Linked DNA regions of Rhinolophus ferrumequinum. The protein of the gene in region 1 interacts with the protein of each later gene in a biochemical or structural test. Links are inferred from orthologs where the notes say so. Each region holds a gene or a part of one and is shown on either strand. Other genes may lie near its edges. The genes, in order: UBXN2B, PPP1R11 and PPP1R7.

Region 1 (10,598 bases):
ATATTTCTTTTCTAAATCCTCATAGCACATGCTATCCTATTATTGATGTTTATATTAAATATTATATTGTCATCACTTGTGTACTTTTCTTACTATTTTATCCCCCTTCTATATTTCAGGTTTCCAAAATTATTTCTAATTTAGTACTTAATAGGCATACAACAAACTCATGTCGAATTATGTAGACCATAACACAACATAAATCATAAAGAGATATAGATAAAGTTATAGACTTTAAAATTGAGAGTATATTTGCTATACAGGTTTGTACCTTGTTAGGTTTTTGTTTTAAGAAAGCTTGCATAAATCTGGTCAATCAAATACTTCTCTTCTGTGAATTAAATGAATAAAGCAAAACAATCCCTTTTGAATCCATGGGATGTAGGAATGTATTAAAATAATAGGAATATGGAGAAAATTGTATTAGAGCAGGTAATCCACCTAACTGAAAGGTTCTAGTTATTGATGGTACATTATTAATATAGAGGAAAATGAATGATATTTACAGGGAATTAGTGCCAGGAGTCATGATCTCCCTGTAGCATCACATAGCATAAGTTCATTAGTAGACATTACAAAGAAATTTAATTTACATTATTTGACATAGCAAATGATACCACATCAGCAAAGGAAATAATTATTTAAACGGATCAACATAAACTGAAGTACTGGTGAAAACCAATAGAACAAAAACAACAAAATCTCAGTCAAATAAAGAGATAAAAACATGTGCATTATGAAGTAATGATGCATTATGAATTATCAGAAGTGTTCCACAAGTGAAACAATTAGATTATGAAGATATTTCAATTACACAGAGAGAATAAAGTATGTATGTAAGCACTGATAATCTTTTCTCTAGAATCTGAAATGTGAAGAACATGTAAAGAAACCTGAAGGTTAAGGCAATTGAGAATGAGGAAATCAAGTGTACAACAAAAGATTAAAAGTACTGGAATTCTCAGACATTGAGTGACAACAGCCAGAAGGTATAATATTGATTTATACAGAATAACAACAACATGGGGACCCTTGAAAAATGCAGATGCTCAAGCCTCACCCTAGACCTACTGAAGTAGAAACTCTGGGGCTGGAGTTGGACCCAGCAACCTGTGCTTTAACAAGTCTTTCTGCTGTCTGGGATGCACACTAAAATTGACAACCAACGATACAGAATACTGATACCCAACAGGATCAGAATGCTTGTGGCAATTTTAACATAGTATCATAGTCTTTTTCTTTTTTCACTTATAGAACTCCCTCTTTGTCCCACTCAAAGCCCAATCCTAACCCTAATAAGTACTGAGGATAATCTCAATCCCCCCTCAACTCCAACCTATATGGAAATACAGAATTTAGAACAGAAATATTTTTCTTTGGATCTTATTCTGGAGGAAGTGGGACAAAAGCATACATAAGGTGATTAAATACCTTAACCTACTGTTAGTTAAAACCATGCGTGTGGATGGATTGAGGGGCACAAGAAGAGACAAAGATCTCTGAAAATATTCAGAAATATAATGAATAGTGAGGCTTTCAGGGTTAGTTTTGTCACTAACAAATCCATCCCAAACTTTCCCATAGAATGTTTCCCAATTTGGGAGGAATGAAGGGACCTAAGATCTACTCTTGGTTTAATAATCACAGATTTCTGCAGTTTGAAAATCAGAGGCTCATAGAGCTGGGAGGTTTTCTGGCAGACAACTACCCATCTTTCCCCTTTTGAGAAACGGGGAAATCTCTCCTGATTTAGATGCTGACAAACCCTACATCATGTGGCAGCTAAGATATACGTACTTAGCAGACCTTTTGCTGTTCCAATTAGTAATACGTCATCCTTTTTCTTCTATAATACCTTAACAGACTGACTCTCAGAGCAAGCTGTCAGAAAAGTAACAAGTATCTACTGCAAATTGCACTACTGCATAACTTAAAATAAGCATGGCTAGATTAAACAATAACAAAATAATCCAAAAATAATCAATATCCAAGAAACCAGTCAGGCAGAAGAACTTTAATCAATTCTTCTAAACTTTTGATACATACTCTATTTCTTCATATGCCATCACTTGTTATTTTCAGGTTTCTTTGAAAGTTCTTCACATTCTTATTAAATTCTAAAGGAAAGATTATCAATACTTAGTGTATTTGATATACCAACTCACATTCATGAAAAAATCAGTTACTAACGTACTTACCAGAAAGTAGATAGACAGAAAAAAAAATCTCTTCTAAGTGACAGTGGAAACAAAGGCATTCTCATTAGTGCCATCTACCAGAATATCTCTGTTCATTAATCATATATTACCATATTTCGCCATGTATAATGCCCACTTTTTTGCCCAAATTTATGAGGGAAAAATAAGGATGTGCATTATACCTGGGTAGTACTAATTCCGTATCTATATAAGTGTTTTTAATTTTTTTATTTATACTTATGAGTTAAAAGTGTAACTCCAGAAATCAATAACGATATCCGGATTCAAACTAATACCCGGAATACGATACTCGATTTTGTTGAACTTATGACGAACTTGCAACCATGAAGAGTTCTTGGCCTTCTATGATGTGTAAATATCATACATTTGTTACTGGTACATAAAATTTCTAGTACCAGTATATTCTTGTGTTTTGTAATTACTTGTTACATACAATTATTTGTACTATATTAAAAATAAATACTAAAGTCCTTTATAATACAAAAAACACGTACCTAAATGCAAACAAATAAAAATTTGAATTAAAAAATTAAAATGAAAAATTTTTTCCCCTGAAACTTTGAGCCAAAAATGTGTGTGCGCATTACACACGGCACAATACAGTAATCCATTGGATTGTCTGTAAATTTGTCAACTATCAGGTGATCATTAACCAAACTGTCCTATTGTTCACATAAAAAGAAATGGATTTAAATTAGAGAAAGATTATTAAGTTACACAGTTTTAACTTTAATGGCATTACAATGGACTAACCAGTGAGTTATATAGTACTTTTCTCTTTTAAGGGAAAAGAAACCAAATATTTACCAAGCAAGTATGGGCCAGGATACTATGGGAGTATTTGAGCATAGGCACCTAAAGACATTACTTTATTTCATCCTTGACACCATTAACATCACCCCTAGTTTATAAATAAAGACAATCAGGATGAGAGAGGTTAAGACATTTCTCCTATATTCACACAACTACTAAGTGGCAGGACCATGATGCAAACTGAAGTTGGTCTGACCAGAAACTCCATTTTTCCCCCAACATCTCCTGTTGCCACTTAGTGATGGTGGCCTACAACAGAAAAGATGAAGTAGATGATAGTTTCCCAGTCCTTGAGTCTCTTTACTACTACTGAATTGACCTAGGGGCATTGAAACTATTCCGTATTTCCTGCGACTCCTAACCTGACAGTGATCTCTCCATTCTCCAAATTCCTCATTATATCCACTGCTTATTTGGGGACTCATTCATACTCCATCTTAAAATGTTATGTTAAATATATTCATATCTTATTTCTGCAAAAAATAGGTAGAAATGCCTTTTACATTTCTACCCCTTTCAACAGTGTCCAGCACCAGTGTCAACTGTGGATTTGATGTCCTATTTATCTCTGCATTCCCCAGGGCTTAGCAGTACATTACATAGCAGGTGGTCAATATGTATGTTCAGAATAGAATAAAGGTGTGACTCTAAAAGTAATATAACTTTTTTTTACCAAGGCTGTGGATTCAGTGTCATTTATTTTTAATTACAGCTCCTTATAAGGAGACCAAAAAATAGCCTAAATTGAGCAAAGTAGTGTTAAACATCTGATAAAGCAAAATTTGGAGCACTCCTATTTAGCTACCTAATGTTGGTATCTTATAACTTTATAACGCTTTATTTCCCCGTTCCTCCTGTGCACTGTTTTATAGACTGTAGCTTTTACAAGTAGACTGTGCAGCGTAGGATGGAATACTTTAGCTCAACCTTTTTAAGGAAAAAGGAACCTGATAAAAAGGAACCATATACATACATACATATATATATATGTATATACTGGGGGTGCCAAAAAAATGCACACACATTTTAAGAAAGGAAAAAACTTCTTAAAATTGTTAACACTCAATATATACTGGTAACAAAAAATGAATACAAGTCACATTTGACTTCCGCAATTACAAGAGGTGCTCAGAGTAGTCACCATCAGTGTCCAGACACTTATTACAGGGAACTACTGCTTGAGCAATGTTGACCAAAGTGTCCATTTGTATACATTTTTTTGGCAACCCCAGTATATGTATTCAAGACAAACAGCATCCAAGACAAAAAAGATCAAACCAGTACACCTGTTATATCAACTGACCGCTGCTTTCCCCGCAGCATAGTAAAGCTTTCTTCCCCGGCAAGTTTCCTGAAGGAAGCATCAACCTGTGAACTGACCCCACAAAATGCCATTCTAAATGGGCAGCTGTTTAAGTTGCAAACGGGGTGGAGAGCAAACGGACAGTTGTTTCCACGAACACCACTGTACGCTGCGCCGCCCTGGGGAGACTTGTGGAGCGGGAAATCACAATTCTGTCCCCAAATTGGGTCTGGGGAAGGCACGGCGGAGGCCAGAGGCAGCCTCCGACACGCCCCGACCCGCGCCTTCACTCCTCCGCCACGATCCGCCCTCAGCCGCTCGCCTCACCTGCAAATCCCGAGCGCTCGGGGGCCGCGGCCCAGATGACCTCCGCTCTTCCTCCGCAGACTCCGCTTCGCCGCCTTCCGCCATCTTTTACCCGCGTGCGGGCGCCTGCAGCCAACGCACCTCGCGGGATTTCCGGGGTCGGTTGCCTGGCAACCGCGCGGGGGATGGGGAGGGGAGACGGTCGTTGCACGCCCCGCTTTCTCCGGACTCCGCGCGCTCGCGCCTCCACTTCCGGCACCAGCCCACCTGTCCTACCTCCCTTTTTCCCTGAAAGGAATTGGGTCAGAGAGTTTCTGCCCGGAGAAGCTTCCACGTGAGCCTGGTGTTTTTCTCCGCCTGAAGGTGCTGTAGGCCGCGCTAGAGGGCAGCATAGACTTGCAAGTTCTTTTAACTCAACAACGAGAACGTCCTTTGGATGTTTATCTGGTCAAAATTGCAAATGTACTTTTCTAGTCTTAGGCAAATTCCCTCGTCTTCCCTACCAAGGATTGGGTGGCACGTCGACCCCAAAGCATGAATTGGTGTTGAGAATGAAGAACACCGTAAATGCTCTTTGCAATCAGAACTAGAAATTACAAAACCCTCCTCATTCATCTGAAATTTATTTGAGCTCCTGTCTTATCCAGTCACTTTTATGCCCCCTGGATGCAAAGGTAAAAAGTAGTTCCGCTCAATATAAAACTTACCATCTAGTGGGGAAAAGAGAAGTGTAAATAGATAGTAGAATGCAATTTGCAATAGAGCTTTGCGTGGAATAGGGAGTGTGGAGGGGAATATTCTGTTGGCGCCTCCTATGTGCACCATGTTGGGTGCATTACGTGTGTAATCTCTTATATCCCTCTGCCAGGTAAGTATTGTTAATACTGTGTTATACCCGAGGAAACCAGATGATGGCTGAATTTCACCCAGTTGTAAATGACAGTACCAGATACTAAATCTTGCATTTGTCGTCCCAGTATTCCTTTTAATACAGCATTCTGCCCCAGAAATCCCTGGCTCTCCTTTATGTCCCATAGAGCCAATGACATTTTGGCTGAATCTTAAGGATAAGTACTTCCAATAGACTTTGGACCACAATGAACCATATTTAAAGGCATAAATTTGAAATATGTTCAGGTCCATAAAGTACTACATGATTGAAGCTTAAGGGAAATGACAAGATGGTTATGGGAAGATTTAGACTGGAGATGTAGGCTGAGGACAGGTTTTGAAGGATCTTGCCCTAGTGAAGACGTTAAACATTACACTCTCGGCCAGTGATTCTCAAACATTGCTGCACGTTAGGACCCCTCATCTGCTCTCCTCATACCAGGAAATCAGATTTAATTAGTATGGGGTGGAACTCAGCATCAAATTTTTTAAGAAGTTCCCCAAGTGGACTTTGCTTCTGTCAGTGATTGGGACTGGACTTGCCATCCCACTCTCAACAACTGAAAAACTAGATAAAAATATGAAACAACTGTTTTCAGACATTGAATAACAGGCAGTACAGGTTTGTGATATCCCAGAGAGGAAAACAAGCAAGACGAGCTGTATTTGCTATGGCTCTCTGCCTGGAACTTTGATACGGTGCTGGTGGGAATGGAGAATGGTACAGCCACTTTGAAAAATAGACAGTTTCTTCTGGAGTTAAATATTCAGTTATCACGAGACCCAGCACTTCCATTTCTAAATACTGATCCAAGAGGTATGAAAACATGTGTTTACAAAATATTTGTGGCTAAATGTTCAGAAAAGCTTTAGTCATGATAGCTCCAAACTGAAAGCAGCCCACCAGCAAATGAATAGAAACATTTTGATAAATTCATACAATGGAATACTAGTCAAGAGTAAAAAAGGGAATAAATTACTGCTTCACATACCATGGATGAACCTCAACGACATTATCTAAATAAATATTGTCTGATTCAATTTACATGAAATTCTAGAACAGCCAAAACTAACCTTTACTGACAGAAAGCTGGTGGTTGCTTGGGGTTATCTCTTTGGGGAAGGATAAACTTGGGGAGTTTGACTAAAAAAGGACATATAGGAACATTTTGGTGTGATGGAAATGTTTTATATCTTGATTGTGGTGGGACTTATACAGGTATATACATTTGTCAAAAGATCCTAAGCTATCTACTTAAAGTGGATGCACTTTATTATATGTAAATTACACATTTATAAAGTTGGTTGAAAAAAACCTACCCAGATGATTCTGTTGTACAGTAGTGGGTGAGGACCACTGATCTAAGGCAATTGGGAGCCCTTAAAGGATTTGTGATTTAGAAAGATCACAGAGGCATCCCTGTGTAAGATGACCCAGAGTTAGGAAATTAGAGGGTTGTTACAACAATGAAGGATAATTAGGACTCAAGTTGTATCAGTGACAGTGAGTATAGAGAGAAGCAACAGTTGGTAGAACTATTAGGGTCAGACTCAGTAGGTGCTGGAATATATGGGGAGTATATGAAGGAAGGAGGAAGGAAGAATGACATCCAGGGTTTTGGTTAGCTTATATGGTTAATAATGCTTGCTGTACATTACTGAGTTGAAAGGGCAAAGTAAACTTCAAAAGAAAAAAACATCTTTTATGGCCATTTTGAATTTGAAACTTATGTGGGACACTAGGGTAAAAATACATCATGAAGCAATAGCAAATATGGGTCTAGATATTAGGAGGCTAGGAGAAAATTTTGGTTTGGAGATATAGATTTGGTGTTGATTGCATACAAGTGACAGCAGGGTAGATGAGGCTTGCAGAGGCTGTGTGAAATGTAAGAAGATGTGAGGACCGGAAATATTAAAAAACACCAACACTGAAGGATTCAATGGAGAAAGGAGACCATTCAAAGTAAACTTAAGGATTAGTCAGAGGTAGGCTGAAGAGACTGGAAAAACTAATGACAAATTGGTATCAAGTTAGAGACCAAAAGTATAATTTCCCACAGATAATCAAGTAAGAGTAGGACTGGAAACTATCCACTGGATTAAGGGAAGAGGAGTTTGCTGCTCCAAAGGTTACTACTAATTTAATAGAAAGGAAAATCCATATTTTAATGGTTTGAGAGTGACAGTAAGGACAGTAAAGGTTATGTTTTCAATGTACTTAAAGTCAGTGGATTATACTGGTTCCTGAGATTATACTGGTTCCTGAGAGCCTATTGTTAAATTTTCAGAAATTTCATAGGCAGTTGTTAAACACTGCTAAAAATTATATAAACTTACAATGAAACCACATTAGAAAAAGTGTAATAAATACTCAAAAATCATTTGTTAATCATTTCAATACCTTTTATTATTACTTATGCTCTTGCAGTTATTTACATCTATTGTAGCTGAATGGTGGAGATACCATATGCTACTGCACACCTCTTCCTAACTCTGCATTCAGTAACAGCATGTTGGTATTTTGAAATTTACCATGGTGGGAGTATTTATACCTCAGAAATTGGAAAACATCACAAATAAGAGTTTGATCTATTGTTTTGTTGATTGTCTACTCTAGATTTAAGAATGTGTTAGAGAAAATGTCTACAGTGAAGTTAAAACTTAAAGGCATGCCATGCCTTTAGCTGTTATATTGTGAATAGCAAAAAAGGGGGAAAAAAGGACATATTCTTCCTGTATTTGAAAATTATTAGCCAGTTCAAGAAAGAAGTTGCTCATGTATCATTCAGTTATCATGATGTTTGTGTTGTTTCACTTACATCTTGTTAACATGAATAAAAATATCAACCGATATTCACATGGTCCCTTTGAAGTCCCCCTCTCTTAGCTTGTGATGAAAACTACGAGGTCAGACAATTAAGTTTGGTGAACTTGTTGCAACGATGTTGCTAACCTTTCTTGATATCAGAGGGATTATTCATTATGAATTTGTACCAACTGGACAAACAATTAACCAAGTTTACTACTTGCAAGTGCTGAAAAGGCTGCATGAAAAAGTTAGACGACCTGAACTTTTCGCCAGCAATTCATGGCTCTTGCATCACGACAATGCACCAGCTCACACGACACTGTCTGTGAGGGAGTTTTTAGCCAGTAAACAAATAACTGTATTGGAACACACTCCCTACTCACCTGATCTGGCCCCCAATGACTTCTTTCTTTATCCAAAGATAAAGAAAATATTGAGAGGAAGACATTTTGATGACATTCAGGACATCAAGGGTAATATGACAACAGCTCTGATTGCCATTCCAGAAAAAGAGTTCCAAAATTGCTTTGAAGGGTAGACTAGGCACTGGTATCGGTGCATAGCTTCCCAAGGGGAGTAGTACTAGTGATATTTAGCAATGAGGTACGAAGCACTTTTTCTAGGATGAGTTCGTGAACTTATTTGTCAGACCTCGTATAGTGCCTCTTCCCATTGTTCTCCAAAGAAATAGGATCACAAGTATCTCACTCTCCCTTTATCCTCTAACTATTTTATGTTCTCAAAGTAATCCTGGGGGTTTAAGAATCATGGAAGTTATTCTATATAAAATATCTCCTAGGAATTTCTGTCTCACACTTGCTTCAACATATAATATGTCTTGTTTCTGGGGCTGCTTAAACTGGAAACTTAACATTAATACTTGTTATACTTATTGTTTTCTTTCCATTAGACTGTAATATCAGGGAGGCCATTGGTCACGTCTTTATCTCTAGTGCCTTAACGTAGAACTTGGGACATAATATGTACTTTTTAATGAGTACAAGTGAACGAATGAAGGAAATAGGGATCATAACTCAAACGCAGGTTTGACTATTTCTCATTTTCCATTCATGGAAAGTCAAGAAATAACAAGGTATATCAGCAAAGAAAGAATAAAATGCAGGCCTACCCATCGTAGACTAATAAATATCCAATTTGAACTGCCCAACCTAAATGAAACTCACACTTGTATAATTTTACTTATGCAGGAACATCACTGAAGCCATGATCAGAGATTGTTGTAGGACACAATGGCCCTATTTCATCCTTTAAACAGTTTAATCTTGGCTTTTTAATATTTACAGAATATATTTGCTTATTTGCATGGGTTGCATACGAGTATGTTATTTTCTGTAATCTATAACAACCTTCTAGTTAGGATTTGTCTCCATTCTACAAAAGAAATAATTGAGGACCAGAGACATAAGATGAATTTCCATGATCATATCACCCAGCTATGAGGTAGCAGAACTAAATTTTAAATTCTGGTCCATTTTATTTTAAAGTATATGTTTTTCTTTTATTCCTCTATGTGTCTTCTGGAAGATTTTTTGCAGCTTCTGACATTCACAACTGTTCACTTTCTGTAATTTCCTCAAAGTAATTCTCATCATTTTCTCCTTACTTACCTGACCATTTCTTTTGAGCTCCCCTAACATTTTATCTCCTGTCTACCCTCTAAGTAGTGGTGTTCCCTAGAATTCTGTCTTCAGCCCTCTATTTTCTCACTGTGTATACTTTCACTACTCAGTATCATCCACTCTTCTACATACTATTTGTACACAGAAAATTCTCATTATTTGCAGTAGTTATGTTCTATAAAGTTGTCGAGAACACTGAATTAGTGGATACTGAACCATTGCTCCAAAAATACAGGGTCAGTTTTCTGCAAGGTCTTGGGCACAGTTTTGTCAACTGATTGATATATACCCTTGTTTTATGCTTGTTTTTGTTGAATGAATCTTATTTAATACATGTTGCTGATTCATTAATATGAACTCTCAGCCAACAGCACCATAACTCATGCCTGAGGGGAGCTTATCTAATACATACATTTTCTCCAGAAGGCACATCACAGCCTTCTTGGACTTAGGAACTTGGACTGAGAAACAGCAATTCTGTATTACGCTTGGGGCCATTTTCCACAGCAAAATCACCAACAAACTGCACAAAAATGCATAAAATGCGACATAAATAGACCATGAGTTCATTTGTAGTAGAAGAGCTGAAACAAGAAAGCAGAACCTTTCCTTGT
Region 2 (10,586 bases), on another chromosome or scaffold:
GGCTTTGTATCTTTTTAGCTCCACCTTCCCCATCCTGCTGACCCAGCTCCCAGGCCGCACCCCAGATACTGCAGATTGAGGTTATCAGCCCACACTCCTCTCTGTCAGATCAGCCTCACTTTCCCCACCCCCACAAAACAGGCAATGTCTCCTTTGCTTTTTGAGCTCTGCCCCGTGCCCTGGGCCAGACGGGTCCTTCTCCAAGTCCAATTCCACATAAGTGGGCTATCCATGCATCAGTTGGGTCTTGCCTGGGGCTATCCTTCATGTCCCTTTACCCTGTCTTGTGCCACAGCCACCTTTCCAGCCGTTGTGGGGCCTCTGAAGTGCCCTCCGCCACGTATTCTGTCCTATCCTACTTCTGACTGACTCCGAAACCCCTCTCACTTGGTCCTTTCTGTCTTGCGCTCCCCAGCCGACCTGACCTTGGATCCTGGCACCGCACACCGCCGCCTGCTCATCTCTGCGGACTGCCGCACTGTCAGACTGGCCCCACCAGGAACACCTGCGCCCCCTGACAGCCCAGCGCGCTTCGATCAGCTCCCAGCGGTGCTGGGCGCGCAGGGCTTCCAGGCTGGCCGCCACTGTTGGGAGGTGGAGACCGTGGACTCTGCCTCCTGCGGAGGCTCTTCCGGGGAGGATGAGGACGATGGGGAGAGTCGCTATGCCTTGGGCGCGGCAGGAGAGTCGGTGCGACGCAAGGGCCGTGTTGGGCTGTGCCCCGCGGGCGCCGTGTGGGCCGTGGAAGGCCGGGGTGGCCGCCTGTGGGCACTCACGGCACCAGAGCCCACCCCGCTGGGCGGCGCTGGGCCCCCACCCCGGCGGATTCGGGTGGACTTGGACTGGGAGCGGGGCCGCGTGGCCTTCTATGACGGCCGCTCGCTCGACCTGCTCTTTGCCTTCCAGGCACCTGGCCCCCTAGGGGAACGCGTCTTCCCGCTGCTCTGCACCCGAGACCCCCGCACCCCACTGCGCATCGTGCCAGCAGAAGGCTGAGAAACTCGCCCACAACCTCGTTCTAGTTTGGCCCACAGCGAGGCTGCTTCCTCTTGTGCTCGGAAATCCCTCCTCATTCCAGGCATCGAGTCCACACTCCCGCAACCGCCCGAGTGTTGATAAACACTCCCACCCACCCACAATGTCTCTCTTCTCCCAAATACTAAGACCTCAACTGGCCTCCAGTTTTCACATCCACTCCCAAAGCCGGACCCATTCTCGCCCTTCCCCGCCCCTCCCGCCCACTTCTTGTGATACCTCGAGGAACGCTTCCCCCAGCAGCTACCCAGCACTCCCCAAGTGCTCACTCCCCTGGTACCTTACACTGTTCGGGCCTGAGTTAGGGAACACACCTGCTTCATCAGAACTGGTAAAGGGCCCATGTTTACTACGGAGAGTCCCTCCTAGTCAAATCTTTACCTCCCACTTGTGCCTCTCCTAGTCTCAAAGGGCCCAACGCCTTCCCTAGTTTTAAGGATTGGGTTTTCCTGCCCTGTCCACTCGCAGGTTCTCAAGGGAAGTAAGACCTTCCTAAAAATCAAGTGGCTTGACTCTGTCTGGGACTTAGGGCTCTCTAGGAAGGTTAATAATGTGGGGTTTTTTTGGGGGGGTGGGGGGTCATACCCCACCATGACTTCTTTCCATGTCCATAGATTTTTCCCATTAAGAACCATCTTTAAATTCCCCCTGCACATACTCACAGTAAGGAACCAATGGTGCTACCTCTCCTTTCCTCAACCAGGGAGTGGCCCAGACACCCCAATCCATCCTTGTATATAGCCCTCACATTGTTCCCCATGTGTATAAATGGGCCCGTATTTAACACGTTTTGTGATGTTGGGTTATTTATTTTGTGCATCTGTGGCAATAAATGAGATCTCTATGGTGGTATGGATTTGACCAATCTCTACACTTGTGCACGGCAAAAGTCCTGGGGAATGATATTTAGATCCCAGTAAGAAGGGGAGGGCCAAGAGAGTCAGACATCTGGACTGGCAAAAACACGAAAGCCTAAGAAGAAAGAGGTAAGAGATGGGAAGATAGCCCCATCTCTTTGCTCCCTTTTCCTTCCTCTTTCAGGAACCCAGGCCCCTGGGACTAGGTCGGATCTGTCTCCAAAGCTGGAAGACTACTCTTGAAGCCAGCTTTGTCAGAAATCCTAGATCACATAAGAAAGGTTAAGAGAGAGGACATGACTATTTATTTTTTCATTTTCCATTAAAGGTGAGAATGACAAAGAACTCTCTCTCTCCTAACTCCTCTTGAGGGTCAGGGGTGTGGGAAGGAGGGGAGGGGAAGGGCTGGGAGCCCTCCCATAGTACCTCACATACCACAGGCAAGGACTAAGAGTTAGGACTATATAAATACATAAGTGGATGAGCTCTAAGCCAGCCGTAACAAGCATAGCTGGGGCAACATTGCCTGGAATCTGACTGGGACCCTGGCAGTGAAAGCTGGGGCTGTTGGAAACCCAAGTTAAGTGTTTGGGACTCAAGTAGAGAGCGCAGGGGGCCAAGACAACTGGATCCCAGGACTGGCAGTTTGGCAGTGAGAACAAAGGGAAGAGACTGGGACCAAGATGCCTGGATCCCTGGAGAGAGGAGGAGGGAAAGAAAAAGGAGGGTTGGGGGAACCCAGGAGCTTGGGTTCTAGAATAGCAGCAAGTCAGAATTCCAGGATCTCTGTCCACCCTCCTCTTCTTCTTCCCTCTATCAACCAGAGGGGGGGGGAGGGCGGGGAAAAGGGATCAAACCATGGGTTGAGTCCCCAAGTAGCCACATGAAAACATTCAGGGCCAGACAGACACAGGAATGATGGGGAGAGAGGAATTTAGTGCTGCATTGGCCCTGGAGGGGGCTGGGAGGGGTCAGGAGGCTGGGGAGGGGTGGTGGGGCTGGGTCCGGGGATTGCACGACTCCGTCCTTTGCGGTGGCCCCGTACACAGTGTGTATGACCACAGCCCTCCTCTTCCTCCTCATCGCTCTCCGTGGAGCTCTCGCCAAAGGCCCGAGGTTTCTCATAAATGCAGCAGCCTGGATTTGGGAGGAGGAGCCCCGTTAAAAAGGAGGAAGGGTAAGATGTACACTCAGTTCCATTCCCATTGGATCTCAGTAAAAATGGCTACTTCCACCATCGTCTCCTTCTATCTTCCAGGATCCAGCTTCCCCGGCCCACCCTGGGGCCTCAGCCACCCACCCCCTGTCCTTTCAGATAGCCAGGATCCAAAGCTCCACTTCTCCACCTCTGACACCTCTTGCCTTCAAGCCTTGGCACATCCCAATTTGAGCCCCTGCCTATGTCTTTTCCCTCTAACTTTAACCTCCTCTCCCTGATGCCACAGAACCACCCAGGTAGCGACAGGACTGTGAGCATCTGGGGGCTTCAGGAGGACAAGTGGATGTGAGAAGGTAGAAGGTACGCAGACGGGAGCCAGAACTGCAGGGTTACTGTGGGCAACAATTACTCACATTTTGATGAGCGGCGCCCCATATGTTCGTTGTCCACAGTGTCACTCGTCCATTCCACCTTTTTCTCTGGCTTCCGTTTCCGGAGTTTGATGGTTAGGCTCCGGTTCTCCTGGAAGGTTAACAGAGTTGGGCATACCTATGTAATTCCCTCGTACTGACCATCCCCACTCTCTCCTGGGGGCCTACTCTCTGCCCTGTCTCAGCTCAATCAGTGTCATAGACACAGCACCAGAAGAGCTGAGTGCTGGGAGAAGATGAACTAGAACAGGTCTTTAACCTCCTTGAGGAATCATGAAGTAGTATTTCCTGTTTTTGATAACTATTAGTATACAGAGAAAACACAATCCCTAACCTAGGGAAGGTCCCATTAAATCTTCAAAGGAAAATATAACCCTTGCTGTTTCTGTCTTCCTCCCCAAATTATCCTTAGTGGTATTACTACATAAAAATTATTTTCTCAGTCCCAATGCCTAATCTGTGATTTCCCTTTATTTTTTCCAGACTCCCTATTCTTTTACCCATTAAAGAACTCCATTCTCACCTCTCTCATCCTCAAGCCCTGCCCTTCCTACCTCTTATCCACCTATTCCCTAGCATCCTAGAAATCTCTGGTAACAATTATTCTAAACTCCCTTAATCCAGTGTTATTAAGCCCAATATAACCTCCCTTTGAAAACAATCTAGTTTTTGCAAATATGTTACTCTTTCTTTATTTACATCTCTGATTTTTCAAAATACTATCGTCATCTCTTTTTTTTTTTTGGTTCCCTCATTCTGCTTCCTTTTACATTAATCCCTTCGACAAATATTTAATAAGTATCCTTCCCGTCAAATTCCTCTACAGCTGGCCTCCAACCATGCTTTCTTACACAGCCTTCATCTTCTTACACAGCACCTCCCTTGTTCCTTAAACCCCAGCTTCCCATTCTTTCATTAATTATACACACACCACCCCAAGCAGCACCACCTACATCCTAACTCGATTACTTGTCGCTTGCCGAGCCTTGCACCACCTCTGCCACTCCAAATATGCCCAAGACCTTGCGATTCTCCCAACCCGATATTCAACCCCACTCCTCCCATGTCACCAAGCCCAGCCCCTCCAGCAACTCCACGAAGCCCTAACCCCTCCCTCCCGGTATCTCCCAGATCCTAAACAGCACCGCCCCCCGCCTTTCTCACGGGCTCGGTTGTCACGGTAACCGTTGTCTCAGTGACGGTCTCACTCAGCCCGGCCCCCGCCTCGGCCATGGCTAAGGCTGAGGAAAGGGAGGAGGGGAGGAAGGGATGAGACACCCTTCCTTCGTTCTGTGTTTCTGAGGTCTAAGAGAAGCGGTATCGAATTCAGAGTAGTAGCCAGGATCCTCCACCTTCTTTTCTCCCCCTCCTCCTAGGCCTCCGCTTCTCTACCCCGGGGAATAACCTGTCCAACCCCACTTCCGGCTCTCCGCTTCCGGGTGTGACGCAGTCTGTAGTCCTCCTCTCGTCTCCTGCACTGCGTCAAAGCGCAGGCGTCACCAGATTGGTTCCGTCGTAAGGTCACAGTGCGCAGGCGCCGCAAGGAGTTGGCGGAGTCACTGCAGTGGTGGAGGGCGATCAAGGGCAGCTCGCGCACGCACGGCACGCAGGAGGGGGCGGTCCCGAAGGCTAGAGCCGGGTTAGGCTCGCAGACTGGGTGCGGAATCTTGTAGCTGAGCCCATGCCCCCCACCCCCTGGGAGGGTGTGATGGCGCGTAAACTGAGGAGCAATAATAATGACCTTATAATGGTCCATTGTTGCCTCCTTATTGTTTCGTATAGGAATTACAGAAAGGGGACCGAAGTGCAGTTGGAAATACACCGGATTAAGAACCTGGGTTCTAGTACTCGTCCTGTGCCTCTAAGTGTTCGAGTGGGGCGTTCACGTTCAACTCGAATTTTTTCCTGTCATTGTACTAGGCTTTTAAGATGGCCGCGCATGAAACCTTCCTGTTAACTCCCAGTCTAGTGGGAAAGATTGGCATGCTTAGGACTAACAAAAAAATAAGACATTGGGATATTAACATAGATATAAATCTCACCTGTGAAATTCAATTTAGTTGCATACTGCCTAAACTCTGGGGTAGAGATGAGTAAAATTAAGCAAAGACGTGGTCATAAATTATAGGCCAATTTTGCTATGATAAAAATGTATGCTTCTCAGGGAGAAAAAGAGTGGGTAAAAAGGTGTGGGGACAGAGCCCCAAAAAGCAGTTTCCAGGCTCTCGGCGTCACATAGAAAGGTGCTGGCTCAGGTAGTAAATGGCCATCGACTGTGATCAAATGGCCATCAGCTGTGGCTAGTTGGCCGTCAGCTGTAACCAGTGAGCCATTGGGCACTAATATAACTGCCGTGGCTAGGCTAGCAGAAAAAGGGAGCTAGCAAGAAGATGGTGGCTGAGCCTGCAAGCGGTGCAGTGAGGGTTGAGAATTGAGTGGCTCCTGTTTCCTGTTTCTCCAACCCAGCCGCCAGCGAGAATACAGTGGTATGACTCCCCTACCTATGGCTCCGTGGGTGTTTTTTTTTTGGCCTCACCATGTCCTGCGTTCTTATGTGGGGAGCGGGAGCAGAGGCCCCGCCGGACACCCTGCAGGACAAAAGGGAACCGAAAGACAGACCAATGAATTTTTTAAGTAAAAGGAACTTACAAAGTCATAGGTGTATGGACTGAAGGAAATTAAGTTTGGTACTGCTGGGATACAAGTGGAGTGCCTGATGAGGCTTTACAGGTAGGCGTGGTTATATGGGAAGCCCTGTATGCTTTGCTAAGAAATTTGGACTTTATCCAGCCAGTGTTGTGGGCCAGGAAAAGGCTTAGAGTAGTGTAGAAACATGAACATATTTGTTTCAGATTTCAGGAGTGAGGCAAGGAAGTCAACTGCCAGAACAGTTCAAATGTACAATGCAGAAGACTGTCCTACTCATCCATCCAAGTTGCTGAGCAGTTAAACAAGAGTGTGTGTGCTTGAGCGCGCTGAATACATAAAGGACCACACCGTTGCAAGATAATTATTATTAATATCATCCTTTGATCACCATTTAAGCCAAGGAATGCAGGAATACTGATTCCCAGACTAAAATTTGAATATGGTTATTGTGCCTGGACTATATGTTTGTTTCTCTTTTAAGTTTTTGGTTCAAAGGGAAAAAAGCAAGCTAGAACTCAGCATATATAGAACTCAGCCCATTAAAAAAACAAGTATCTCTGCAGAGTGGGATTCCTTGTAATTTTTACTTTTTCTTTCTATATATGAATCTATTACAGTAAATATATATTATTTATCTCAAGAGCAATAACAATATTTCCAAAATGTCCACCTGTAGTAAGTACATACTGGTATCCCTTAGTATCAGATTTTTGTTGTTCAAACTTACACATAAAATATTGTGCTAGGTGAGCACTAATCAGGGGGATCACTGCATAAATTATACAAATGCCTAACCACTGCACTATACACCTGAAACTAATAATAAAATAATATTGAATGTCAACTATAAAAAGCAATAAATAGTCTATTTTGTCTGGTAAAAAAAAAACTTACACATCGAATAGATCTGGTTAAATTTTCTGTTGAATCTCTCACTATTCAAACTCCCAATTTTTATTTCCCTAAACTGAGGAACTAATAGATTTAGATAGTGAGGAAATAGTTATGTTTGCTTTTTCATATTAGCCTCATTCCTGGCTCCTTTTTTTGTCCTTTTTCTTTCTCATGTACTAATTTATACTCTTTTTTGTAGTTGATATTTGTTGAAAGAACAAATGTATCTATAAGCTCATTTAAATTCATTTTGGAACAAGACAGATTATAAATAACATACATATGTCTCAATCTTATAGAAAAATATAACTTTAATAGGAAAATTCAACTAGGAATAAGAATAAGCACAATGGTAATCCCCACATGATGATCTGCTTCTCTTCTGGGAGCCAAATATTACAACCAGGGGATCGCCACGGGGTCTAAGAATCCAATACCCTTCACCTTCCAAGGAAGAGGGAGGGGTTGTTGAGTCGCCCAGAAAAACAAAATAAAAATCAAGAGTCTTCTTTTTCCTGGAACCTATGGAGAAAGAAAGGATTTCTTTGTTGTATTTGACCAAAGAGGGTCTAGCAGTGAAAGATGAAATACACTCAAATAATCAAGGAAGGACTTTTATTTATGACACTGTGGAAGTCTAGCTCCCCTAAACAATTCAACTTTAAGCCAACTAAAACTGCTGGTACTAAAAATATATCTAACAAATTATGACCTTGAAGTATGAGGTCTGACAGTTAAGTTGGCGAACTCATCCTAGAAAAAGTGCTACATACCTCATTGCTGAATATCACTATGGTCACCTTCGAAGTACTCCCCTTGGGAAGCTATGCACCAACACCAGGTTTGGAACTCTTTATGGAATGGCCATTAGAGCTGTTGTAATATTACCCGTGATATCCTGAATGTCATCAAAATGTTCTCCTCTCAATATTTCCTTTATCTTTGGGTAAAGAAAGAGGTCATTGGAGGCCATATCAGGTGAGTAGGGAGGGTGTTCCAATAGATATTTGTTTACTGGGCTAAAAACTCCCTCACAGACAGTGCAGTGTGAGGTGGTGCAGTGTCGTGACATAAGAGCCATGAACTGTTGGTGAAAAGTTCAGATCATTTTCATCTAACTTTTTCACACAGCCTTTTCAGCACTTGCAAGTAGTAAACTTGGTTAACTGTCCAGTTGGTACAAATTCATAATGAATAATCCCTCTGATATCAAAAAAGGTTAGCAACATTGTTTTGACTCGATTTGGACTGATGGAATTTTTTTGGTGGTGGAGAATTGGCTGACTTCCATCGTGTACTTTGATGCTTTTTCAGGTTCGTACTGGTACACCCATGTTTCATCACCAGTGATAACAAGGCCCAAAACATCGTCTTGCCTCTTCAAAAGGTCTTGGCAAACTTCAACTCTCCTTTGCTTTTGTTCATCAGTGAGCTGCTTTGGGACCATTTTTGCACACACCTTTTGCATGTCAAGATTTTCAGTTAAGATTTTCCTGTTTCTCTATTGATGTTTACTTGGTCTGCTATACTTCTCACAGTCAGCCGACAATTTTAACGCACAATTGACAAATTTTTGCAATGTTTTCTTCAGTTCTGCTCATTACTGGCCGCCCTGACCTCTCTTCATCTGTGACACGTTCTCTCCCCTCAGAAACACTGCTTTGTACACAGTCCCCTTTGTACACTGCTGTTTTCTTCATGGCATTATCCCCGTAAACTTGGACTAACATGTCCCTGATTTCACTTCCATTCTTGCCAAGTTTAACAAGAAATTTAATGTTTGTTCGTTGCTCTAATTCAAGCTCAGACATTTTCACGATGGCACACAAAAACATGCAACAATAATGAATGCCACTCAGCAAGATACTGCCACGTGTCGACACAAACACAGCTGTGAGACACTGATGTACCAAGGTTATCAAACCTGAGCTGTTTGTACAGTGCTGCCAGTGTAAGCACATGGTGGCAAGTTCACGAACTTAATTGTCAGACTTGTATGCAAAGATTTCTTGGGACACAAAAAGCAGTAGCCATAAAGGAAAAAGGATAAACTGAACCTGATAAAAATCAAAAACTTCTGCTCATTTAAAAAAATAAGTTAAGAAAATAAATAGGTAAGACTAGGGAAAATATTCTTAAAAGATGTATCTAACAATAAATATTTTTTAATCCATTGATGAGATGGCAAGAAAGTAAAGGCAATCTTCACACTGGTAAAATGATATAAAATCAGGAAACTAAACAGGTAAAACTGAAGCCCCTGCTACGATGGCGCCCTTGCTGTTTTGACAGCAATATGAAGGAACAAAAGAAAAACCTGTAATACAATGTCTGATAGATATTCTGCATAAATTTGGGACCTCCAAGGGGCTACCCCTCTGTAAAAGTGAATAGGAAAAAAAAAAACAAATTTAACTCTATAAAAGGGGAATTTGTCTCACTAGGTAGAGAAAGAAAAAGCTGGTCCTTACATGGATTTGCAGCTCAGATTCATACTAGCTGTGTAGTCCAAAAAATCCTGAAGCCAAGAATTTATTTAAAAGTGATTCTGTCTTGGTAGTGCCTCAAGGCACCTTAACAAGATACACAAATGCTGAGACAATGGCATTCAACCCAGGCCTCAAAGAATTCCCATAGTTCAAATTCTAAAAAAAATCCGAACAGTCAAAAATCACAAAACAAAGCACCATGAAAGTCAGCAGAAATAACAGACAGCAGCATCAGACCCAGAAAAACACTAGGTACTGGAATTATCAGAGACAGACTATAAATAGCCATGTTTAATATATTTACACGTAATAAATATTTTAAGAATAAAAAGTGCAATTAAAAGATGATTCAGGGGCGGCCAGGTGGCTCAGTTGGTTAGAGCACAAGATCTTACCAACAGAGCTGTCGGTTCGATTCCCACATGAGCCAGTGAGCTGCATGCATCCTCCACAACTATATTGGAGGACAATGAACTGACTTGGAGCTGATGGGCCCTAGAAAAACACACTGTTCCCCAACACTCCCCAATAAAAAATTAAAAAATAAAAGATGATTAAGGAATCAGGAATTCTTTAAGATGACTGAGATTTGAAAAATGATCAAGTAGAACTCAAAAAATTTAACGTAATAATTGAAATAAACTGAAGACAGAATTAGTGACCTGGAAGAGAGACCTGAAGAAATTACCCAGAAGCAGCATAAAAAGAGATGGAAAATATGAAAGACAGAGGAATGGAGGATAGATGGTCTAATAAACAGCTCTTTAATTAGAATTCCAGAATGTGAGAATTGAGGTCATGAGGGAAAAGCAATATTCAATGACATAATGGCTGATAACTTTCCCAGGTTGATGGGAAAAAAGAAAAATCAATCCTCAGTTTCAAAAAGTTCAACAAATCCCAAATAGGATGAATAAAAGAAAACCGCATCTTGATAAATTGTAATGAAACTGCAGAACACCAAAGGCAAAGAGGAGTTCCTAAAATCATCAGAGAGCCCATGTTCTTTAAATCATACTCCACTAATTCCCAAGTACAACTTCCTTGAGTGCAGTGGAATATTCCCACATAA
Region 3 (10,086 bases), on another chromosome or scaffold:
CTCATTGTTTTCAATATAAATTGATTTTGTAAACAAACAAACAAACAGGCTTAGATCATGGTTGGAGTGTGTGAAAAACTACCAATTCGGGCTGAGGACTTACTTTTCTCTAAATTCCTTTTGCTGTTTTTCACTAAAGGAGGCCATTGGGACATTTTCTACATAAAATGATTTTCCTAACATCTAGCGATTAAGAAGTCCTTTCTAGGTCTGTAAAATGGTGAAGAAGGGCTCAGAATTGACTTCTCTAAGACACTAAAAGTGCTATTCTGAAAGTAGGCTGTTACCATGGCAGGAAATAAAAGCAGAGTAGTCAGCCATAATGTTTATTTCAAATCTCACTTTCTGAGCACATGGTTAATAAATCAATTTTTGGGGTCTGTCCCAGATGACGCACCAGTACCAATATTATCAGTAGTAGTATTTGGCTTCAGTGGAATTAGGAAAAAACCACATCCTGCCTGCAAGGGCCGTTATGCCTGCTGGCCAATGGCGCGCCCAAGTTACAGGTCCACCATTCCCAGCCTGCCGAGGGCCTGGGCGCTGTGGTAGCAGGCAACGCCCGGAGCCCAGGGAGCTCCCCAGGCACAACAGAGGCTGCCACCTGGCAATCCGCACGACATTGCCCTCACCCACCCCCTCGGTGAGCTCAAGGCTCAGGACTCGTGCCGGTACCTTGTGGGTCCTCCTCCCCCCGCTCCGCTCCATCCTTCAGGCTGTGCTCGCTGAGGTCGGCCACGACGCCGCTGCTCTGCTTCCTCCCCTCTTCATCGCCCGATTCTTCAGACTCGACCCGCCTGTCAACTGAACCCACACAGATCAGTAAGAATTCCCATCCACTTCACGTGACTCTTTCAAGAACTTGTAACAGACTGACATCCAGTTGTGAGTCACAAAGACTTCACTCAAAAAAGTGTTGAGTTCAGCTCAATGAGCATCTGTGTGTCCTCCAGGCCCCAGGCACTGCCTGAAGTGTAGTGGTGGGAGAACTGGGGGCAGGGTGGGGCGGGGGGCAGAGCGGGGAGGCACACGGCAAGGGGAGAGCATCATACTATTCCTACCCTCAAGGCCTCCTGAAGAGTCGCCAGGTGTCCTGAAAGCCCTGGATGGTCTCATTAAACATACTAATGCTGACACGTAGCGAAGCCTGCACATTGCGAAGAGGGGACCATTGTGACCCTCCTGCCACATACCTTCATCCATGCTCCACTATCCATTTGGCCAAGAAAACCAGCCCAGTTCACAGGCCCACGTTCTGAAAGAAATTAAGACTAACTCAAATCAGACTGTGGGTGGGGGGGCTCTAACGAGACAGGAGAAGACAGCCAATAGTGCTAAATGCCCCACGAGAAGGTCACAATGCTAACTAACACCAGGGCATAGTGATGGCAGCTCAAAGCTCTGAAAGGCTGGTAAATAATGTTTTTCGAATAAACACGGCAATGATTACATGGGGCAGACTGATAAAAATTCATTGGCAAAACTGTCAGATAAGTTTCCTTTCTCCTAACTTTTTCATGACCTCTTTTGGAAGTCTGTCTGGAAGCCCTCAGGCACTAACAGCTTCCAAGTTTCCTGACTACAGCTTATCTCACAGGAGCGTGCTCTTTGAGAGGGAGACGGTCTAGTTCCAATTTGTATCTCCCGCTGGGCCAAGTGAGGAAGCACCCAGGAAAGGACTGCTGGATGAAACACGTCCCTATGGAACCCACCTCCAAAACCTCCAAATCCATTCCTTCTTCCCTGCCCCCAGCAACTGCCTCGGCTCAGCTACTCCTCACCTGTGGCCTGGGCTCCTGCTGGGCCTCCTAACTGGTCTCTCTGTGGCTTGTCTGGCCCTGACTAATCTATTCTCCATTGCCAGAGTCTGATCTGATTCTAAAACCCAAATCTGATCTGTGACTCCACAAAATTTCTGGAATACCAATGGCTCTTCCTGACTTTGCATCTTGCCCCTAGAGACACAGCTTTGGCAGTTACTTCCTTTTCCAAGCCTCAGTCTCCAAATCTGCAGAAGGGAGCTGGTATAGTAACTATATCTCAGGGCTGCTGTCAGGATTAAATTAGATAAGGCACAAAAGCAGTTAGCTTTTAATAAATAAAAGCAGTACACAATTAATTAGTTACAGGTACCCCTGCTTTTCAAAAGTTCACTTTACACCACTTCATTTTTAAGAAAGACTTATATTCGTACCTGTTATCACTAATGAAAGAAATCTGAAGAGGAATTTAGTTTTTACAAAAAAACGTGAAAAGTGAAAATAGCATTGTTTTGTTTTGCAGAGAGCCCTAAAAGAGGCAGCACACACCCCAGTGAGTGGCACCACTAAGCCTAGACCCAGGGCACCTACACCCAGCGTCTCAGCATCGAGCTGACATAGCTTTGAACTGTATCTGTGAGCATCTATGTTTTATCTCAATTTTGTGCATCTGCAGTAAGTTATGTCCTAAGGTAACTGCTTCTTTGATTTATGCCGTTTCGGGTTTGAAAGGTTTTATAGGAACGTTCTACTTTGAGATACTGGTAGCAGCGGAAACCTGCCTGCACTGCCATTCCATGCACTCTGTGGTCAAGGCTAAGAGCAAGTTCTACTGGGTTATGGATGTGGCTCGGCCCAGGGCGGAAGGGGCTTAGCTAAGGAAGAGCAGCCAACATGAAACCTGGGATTCTATCCTGAGGGTTGCAGAGTATGGGGCAAGTGACAGAGGACCACCATGTGAGGCCCTGGGGTCAATGGGCTGGCTCAAATATTGGCAGTGGGAACGAAAGACGTTTGAAAATTTGGAGATTTTAAGGAAGTGGAGGCGTCAGAGCTTCCTGACCAATGGATGAGTGGGTCCAGAGAGAGAAATGCCTGGGGTTTTCGTTTGTCATTTACTAAGGCATGGAAGTGGTTGGTGGGTGAGGAAGAGAAAAAGGGGACAGGAAGAGGCACTTCCTTGCTTAAAAAGATCCAAGGGTTTCAAAGTCCAGGACTTTTCAAATGCTTCCCCCCCACCCCCCACCTTCTCTTGCCAGCTTCACTGGCACTCTCCACCCTCATCCAAAATGACTGTCATCCTTGGTCAAGCTCTCCTCCAAACAGGTCTGGATCTCTCACAGCCCTTTGCCTGTGACTGTGTGGTTTTCTTCCCCTGAAATGACCTTTGATCTTTCCCCCACCCCCAGCCTGGCCGAACATTTAAGGTCCAACTTGGAGCTTTGGTTGTGCCGCCTTCACTGCTAAGTACGCCAGCTCTTCCTTTATGGCACCCCACCTCCAACCCTTTCTGCTTCCTTCTTACCGGCATTTACACTCGAGTGGCTGGCTGCTCTCCTGGAGCTCTGTGTCCCCCATGAAACCAGCGCAGCCAAGAGCACATCAGTATTGTGATAGAACTGACTCTCCAATTGAGTGTGTGTGTGTACAGTCGTATGCACATATATGCATATAATTTTTTTCAACAAAGTGAAAGAGTTGAATTTAGTCCTCTCCTAACTGTGATAACTTTGCAAACAGGCACCTGCTGTTCTGTAACAGTCTCTCGGCTCCCTGTCACCCCCTTCTCCACAACCCATTCGCTTTCGAGAGGACCCTTCTCGAAATGAGCCTTCACTAATGAGCCAGCGCGGGCAGTTCCCACGGCGCCCTGCGCCTGTTTCCTCGTTAGTTGCACGGGGACCCCGAGGGTCAGGCTCAGAGGTTCAGTGCGAGGCTCCAAACAGAGGGTGAACGCCCGCGCTGCGGGACTACGGCGCCGTCAGTCCCCAGCCACCCACCCGCCCACCCCGCTCATGCCGCCGCTCTCCCCTCGATCCTGGGTCGGGCGCCTCCCGGTCCGCCCGCGCCTTCCCGGCCGCTGCCGCCTTGGCTCGGGGCCCCCAGGGCCGCCCCCGCCCCCGCCCCTCCGAACCGGCTGGCAGCTGTCAGGGGCCGCACGGCAGGGCCCGGGCTGTGGTCGGAGGCGGGCAGCCCCGTTTCTCTCGGGCAAGGTCGGTGCGGGCCGCCACCCCCAGCCTGCTGGGCCTTTCGGCCACCGCCCTGTGGGGCCGCTCACCCTCCATCATCTCCTGCGACTGTTGCTGACCGGCACCGCGCTCAGCCGCCATGTTGGCTGCTCTTCCCCTTTCCGGAATCTGTCGCCTCAGGCCCTTCAGCCAATCAGGGCTCCCAACTCAGAACTCACCCAGCCAATGGAATCCCAGCGGAGGGGACTGAAGCCCCGACGCGCCTGCGCGGCCGCAGAGCCTCACGGTTAGTTGTAGTCCATCCGCGAGGTCGCGCGCCCTCAGTCTCCGCGCCGGCCGTCTCACCTCCCCCGGGCAGGTAATTTGAGAGCGCCCCGGAGGCGTCTGGAGGCGAGGAGCGGGAAGGAGGACTGGGGCAGTTGGGGCTGCACGCACGGAGCAGTGGCTGCAGGCAAGCGGAGAGAAGAATCTGGGAGATGCTCTGGGCTCGTAGCGAGTCTCTGCGTGGGGCTGCAAAGTGCGGGCCTCCGCAGAGGCGTCTGTACAATGGGCCGACTTTGTCTCGGCGTCGCCGCGCGGACTTAGTCCGAGTGAAGGGGCCGCCTCCAGTTAACGCTCAGCGCGGGACGGGCTCGGCGCCAGGGCCGGGGCCGGGGAGGAACTCCGCCCGCAGGTGCCGGGAGAGCCGGTCGGGGCCCGGGACGCCGACCCACCCACAGCGGGCGCCGCAACCTCCGTCGGCCCTCGGCCCCGCGGGTGTGCTTGGCCCGTGAGGGAGCCGCCCCTGCTGCCCCAGCCTCCAGGGCGAGGCTGCTGAGAGGCGAGCTTCGCGCTGCTCACCCTTCTCGATCCCAAGACCAGAGGAAACGGTGTCTGCCGTACCCGGCTGGCGGGCCGCCGTCTCTTTTGGCTCCTCGGAGGCGCCGTAGAAGGAGTCCGGTGCGTCCTTAGCAACCGTTAGCGCGGGCTTCTCCACCCCGGCTCGTTGAGTCCTGCCCACAGGCGCCAGTGGTTGGCCTATGGGGCCTGTCAATTGGCGTGAGTTGCTCCGCGATTGGCCGGCGGGGCTGGAGGCGAAGATCGGCTTCCTCGCGGCTGGGTGAAGCAACCGGCCGGCTGACTCGTCCCCAGGTGAGATGCCTGCGCTCCTGGGAGTCGACCCGGGCTCCGCAGGGTCCTGCTGCCCGACCCCGGCGAGGCCCTCGGACGAACCAATCCGAGCCCGGTGCCCCCGCCGCTGCCCGCTTCTCCGTGCGACTCCCGCCGGGGTAGCGGCCCGGCGCCCAACGGCGGTTTGTGCCGCTTCGCGCCCTGGGGCCCTGGGCGGAGCCTCTCTGGTCCTCAGCGTCTGCGCCCCGGCCCCACCCCACCCGGCGCTCAGTCCTCAGCTGCAGTTAACTGTGTGCGCTTTGTAGTCACTATTGTTGCTTCTCCTGGAAGGTGAACTCCAGAATGGAGACTGCCCTCCTCTATGCTGGGGACGGTGCCTGTTATGCAGGACTTTTCAGTAAATATCTGAATGCGTGAGCTGTGGGGTGCAGCCCGGCTTCTCGACATCTCCGCTTGGAGGCCTCCAAATACCTGGGCTTTGTCCGTCACCTTCGCCTTTTCTTTTCCAGAGAATGGCAGTGGCCTGAGCAGAAACCTTGGGGTGTGGGCTTGATGCTCCTCATCCCCTCATCCCCGTACCTTGCACCTCTCGTCACCCAGTAAGTCGACGGCAGCCATAGGTCGAGTTTTGACTTGGCGGTTCCTCTGGCCGTCTTTCTGACATCGCTTATTTTAAGACCTGCTAATACCTTGCCTGGATTACTGTAACTTTTCTCCCCCCTTCTCCCCCCAGCATTGCCCCTGGAGTGACCTTTGTAAACTGGGCATCTGGTCATGTTCCCGAGCATGGAGCTCTTTAAAGTCAATGTTAGGGACGCAGTCCGGACTCCTGGAGGAGGCCCAGGAGGCCCTGGGAGTCGTGCTGGGCTGCTCCAGGCCCATCTCCACCTACTTTCCTGTGTGTGGACTCCTCCCCAAGGGCGCTGTGGGCACCTTTGCCCTGTGGTGGTTCTGCCTGGAAGGCTTCTTCACAGTGCCAGGCTCAGCTCTGCCAGTGTTCCCTGGAGGAAGCCTTTGCTGACACCCTCCGTTACAACAAATCCAAAACAATATCCTTCATCCCGGATATTGTTTGGATGCCTGATGCCAGAAACAGAGGTGCAGTCTCAGAACGGCTCTAATGGTGAATGAAGCTGTTGGCCCCCAAACCTGAAATCCCGAGGAAGGCTGGTTTTAGGGTGGGTGTATCCAGTGCCCCACGTGGCATTCTTGCCATTTTCTGCTCTTCTGCCCGCCATGTTGGCTTCACCCTGAGGCTGGTTCTACTCGTGGTTGTACAGCAGTGGTGGGAGAGTTGGAGCTGCTTGTTACCTGGCTTGTGGTCTGGTGGCAGGAAGGTGGTTGGTTGCATCCAGAAGTTCACCCATGAGAGGAAGGAGTACTTTCCAGAAGCTCCCTGCAAACCTCTTAGAAATGACCTAAGGTGATGTGAAGCCAGGCTGTGCTGTCAGCAGCCAGCCTCTGGCCATGGCGTGGGAGGCCCTCGTCCCTGTGGTGTGGAGTTGCTGTGCAACGCTGAGTTGGCGGGGAGGGACCCCCCCCCCCACGGCACAGAGAGAAAAGGACCTGTCCTTCCTGTATTCACTTTTTTTAAATTAATTAATTAATTTTAAAATTTTTTATTGAGGAATACTGGGGAACAGTGTGTTTTTCCAGGGCCCATCAGCTCCAAGTCGTCGTCCTTCAATGTAGTTGTGGAGGGCGCAGCTCAGCTCCAAGTCCAGTCGCTGTTTTCAGTCTTAGTTGCAGGGGGCGCAGCCCACCATCCCATGCGGGAATTGACCCCACAACCCTGTTGAGAGCTCGCTGCTCTAACCAACTGAGCCATCGGCCACCCCCATATCCACTTCTTGATTGATCAATTGTCGGCACTATTGACTTGTTTTCATGAAAGATGACATTTCTTGTCCTTATCCTCCCTTCACATTACCTTCCCTTCTCTCCCATTTGTTATATTACAAAGTGAACTTTTGTAACATTTACAATGTAGTCCAAAACTAGTCAAGTCTTCTGTGCTTTGTCTATAGGTTGGTTGTATAAAACATCTTAATATTTTAGTGTATACTAGCTGATTCATACAGAAGGAGAAATGCAATATTAGTCATGAGTCATGACAGTAAAGTGAACTCATTTAAACTCACCACCCAAATTCGGAACCAGGGGACCCTGTGCTATTCCAGGTTGCTGCTGGACCCACAGAAGAAACCTCCTGCCTGAAGTTTATCACTTGTGGGTGTAACCCTAAAGGATTTGTTTAGATTGGGGGAGGTTATAAAAAGGGAGCCTTACTGTTGATAGTTTGTTGTAACTTGGTTTTTTTCACTTTTTATAGGGCCAACATTTATCCTTGTAGTGTGCATAGAATTTTTTTTCACTCTATAATTCATAACAGAATTTACAATCTATTTTCTTGCTGCTGAATGCTTAGGTTTATTATTTTTTCTTTTTTTCTGTTCACATTGTGAACCATGCTGTCCTGAACATTCTTGTGTTTGACTTGCTACCCATGTGTAAGAATTTCTATAGAATATAAATGTAAGAGTGGAATTTCTGTCAGAGTAGGCAAATGTTTGACTTAAGTTGTTTCCTAAAGAGGTTCATTTGTTAGAATTCCCCTTGAGCCGCATCTTTATCGATGTTTGGTGTCATTAGAATTCTTGATTTTTGCTGATTTAGGAGGTATAAAATTGTGACGATTATGGTAACAGAGAAGCCTGTTGTCATAGGCTTGCTTGTTGGCCGCGAGGGTTTCCTTTTCTGAGAAATTCTTGTTCCTGTCTCTTGTCCATTTTTCTATTGGGCTGTGTGTCTTTTAAAATTTTTTAAATTTTAAATTATTGACCTTTTAATCTCCTGGATATTAGTTATCTGTTGGTTATTCACGTGGTGAATATCTTCTCCCACATTGTGACTTATCTCATTTTCTTTATGACACGTTTTGTGAGCAGACATTCTCAACACCTAGTGTGCGGCCGGGGTCCAGGATCGGTGGGTTTCTTCTTTTGTTATCGAAGATTGTCCACTCTTAGCTCTTCAAACGTTTCTTCCTTTCCATTCTCTGTCCAGTTACGAATTAGATTACCTCATCTTCGTCTCTTAACTTTCCTCTCATAGTTTTGTTTTTTTGTTTCTCTGTTGCATTCTGGGCTCTTTATTCAAAAATATCTTCCAATTCACTAATTTTTTTTCAGCTGTAGCTACCTGCCTCTTTTACCCACCCATTGACATTAAAAGTTAACTTTATTGAGATGTAATTTATGGACAATAAAATGCTCTCATGGTCTGTACTTAGTTCAGCGAGATGTATATGTAGTCACAGCACAGTTCAGTCAGAATATTTCCGCCACCCTAAGAATTTGCTCTATGCTCTTTTTCAGTCCATCCTCCACCATGGCCCTGTCCTGCTCTGCTTTCTGTCCCTGTAAATCAAGTTTGTATTTTCTGGTGTTTCGCGTCAATGGGACCCTACAGGAGGTGTCTTTGTGTCTGGTGCCAGCGTGCATCAAGTGTGCCGGTTCTGAGATTCATGCACAACGCTGTTTGTGTCACTGCATCCCCTTTCACTGCTGCGTATGAGGCCTTTGTGTGGATACTCTTCAGTCTGCATGTCTGGTCTCCTGATGACGGGCGTTTGGATGGTTTCCAGGCTGCAGCTCGCTGCAGTCATGCTGTACTTGGCATCCGTATAGGAGTCTGTGGACTCGTGCTTTCCTTTCTCTTAGGTAGATGGCTGGGAGTGCAATCACTGTGTCCTAGGGCAAGTGGCACGCTTGTGCCATGTGTGTCCCCACCACTAATCTGAGGGCCCCAGCTCTGCACCCCTCACCAACCCTTTGTACTTCCATTCTCTCTCATTTTAGCTGCCCCGGTGGTTGTCATGATAGCTCATTGCGGGCTTCCTTTGCATTTCCCTGGTGACAGTGATGACGAACATTTTCTCCTGTGCTTCTTCGTGATTTGTGTGCCTTCTTTGTCTGTTTAAAACCTTTATCCTCCACCCCCTTTTTAAAAGAGTGGGTTGGTAATCTTCTTATGAATCCTTAGGATTTTCTATGTCTTCTGTGACTTGAGACAGCTGTACGCCCTCTTTTCCGGTGTGTGTGTGCCTGTCGTTTCCCTCCTTTCCGGTGTGTGCGCCTGTTGTTTCCCTCCTTTCCGGTGTGTGCGCCTGTCGTTTCCCTCCTTTCCGGTGTGTGTGCCTGTTGTTTCCCTCCTTTCCCATGTGTGTTCCTGTCGTTTCCCTCCTTTCCCGTGTGTGCGCCTGTCATTTCTTTTTCTCGCCTGTGTGCCCTGGCTAGAACTTCTAGGACAGTGCTGGATAGAAGAGGCTTGAGTGGCTTCCGCCCCCTGACCCCAGGAGTGCGTGTTCAGTCTCCCCCCACCAGGTGTGTTGCTAACTGCAGGTTTGTCACATGTGCGCCTTCAGCAGGTTGAGGAAGTTTCAATTCCTAATTGTTGAGTGTTTTTTCTCATGAAGGCGCGTGGGCTCTTGTCAAATGCTTTTTCTGCATCAATTGATGGGATAATATGAGTTTGCTTCTTTAGCCTCTTCACATGGTGGGTCACACTGGTTGACTTTCAAACATTAAGCCAGCCTTTCATCCCTGTGGCAGCCCCACTTGGTTGTGGGATATTAATTACTCTGTACGTATTGTTTGATGGATTTGCCAATATTTTGTTGAGGATTTTTACATCCATGTTCATGAGAGTTATTGGCCAGTCATTTTCTTTTCCAGCAATGTGTTTGTCTGGTTTTAGTATCAGGATAATGATGTGGCCTCAAAAACTGGGTTGGATGCGTTCTCTCCTTTTTTAATTTATGGGAGAGCTTGTGCAGTATTGATAATATTTCCTTCTTGAATATTTGATAGAATTCACCAGTGGGGCCATCTGGGCCTAGAATTTTCTTTGTTGGAAAGTTTTAATTCCAAATATTTTTTTAAATCCTCAATTTTTAAAAATTTCACTTCTAAAAGCTTGTTTCTTTCAATCTAGCTGGTTTTTGAGAAATTCTTATTTGCTCTTCG

Evidence for each region.
Region 2: the proteins of UBXN2B (region 1) and PPP1R11 form a complex in vitro, tested with the Homo sapiens proteins (2 studies listed by BioGRID). The link is inferred for Rhinolophus ferrumequinum from reciprocal best matches to the Homo sapiens genes UBXN2B and PPP1R11.
Region 3: the proteins of UBXN2B (region 1) and PPP1R7 form a complex in vitro, tested with the Homo sapiens proteins (2 studies listed by BioGRID). The link is inferred for Rhinolophus ferrumequinum from reciprocal best matches to the Homo sapiens genes UBXN2B and PPP1R7.

The regions. Positions count from the first base shown.
Region 1 is NC_046297.1:20,235,071-20,245,668, forward strand, and holds the start of UBXN2B (UBX domain-containing protein 2B), read right to left. Parts: upstream 4,879-10,598; 5' UTR 4,747-4,878; coding exon 4,663-4,746; intron 1-4,662. UniProt on the Homo sapiens protein: Adapter protein required for Golgi and endoplasmic reticulum biogenesis. Involved in Golgi and endoplasmic reticulum maintenance during interphase and in their reassembly at the end of mitosis.
Region 2 is NC_046286.1:692,552-703,137, reverse strand, and holds PPP1R11 (E3 ubiquitin-protein ligase PPP1R11), read right to left. Parts: upstream 4,927-10,586; 5' UTR 4,716-4,926; coding exon 4,647-4,715; intron 3,574-4,646; coding exon 3,465-3,573; intron 3,030-3,464; coding exon 2,827-3,029; 3' UTR 2,642-2,826; downstream 1-2,641. Other genes in the region: RNF39 (RING finger protein 39), read left to right, coding at 416-996; POLR1H (DNA-directed RNA polymerase I subunit RPA12), read right to left, coding at 7,523-7,547. UniProt on the Homo sapiens protein: Atypical E3 ubiquitin-protein ligase which ubiquitinates TLR2 at 'Lys-754' leading to its degradation by the proteasome.
Region 3 is NC_046291.1:513,628-523,713, forward strand, and holds the start of PPP1R7 (protein phosphatase 1 regulatory subunit 7), read right to left. Parts: upstream 4,155-10,086; 5' UTR 4,091-4,154; coding exon 4,039-4,090; intron 1,256-4,038; exon of another isoform or gene 1,204-1,255; coding exon of another isoform or gene 1,194-1,203; intron 805-1,193; coding exon 676-804; intron 1-675. Other genes in the region: PASK (PAS domain-containing serine/threonine-protein kinase), read left to right, coding at 8,450-8,489. UniProt on the Homo sapiens protein: Regulatory subunit of protein phosphatase 1.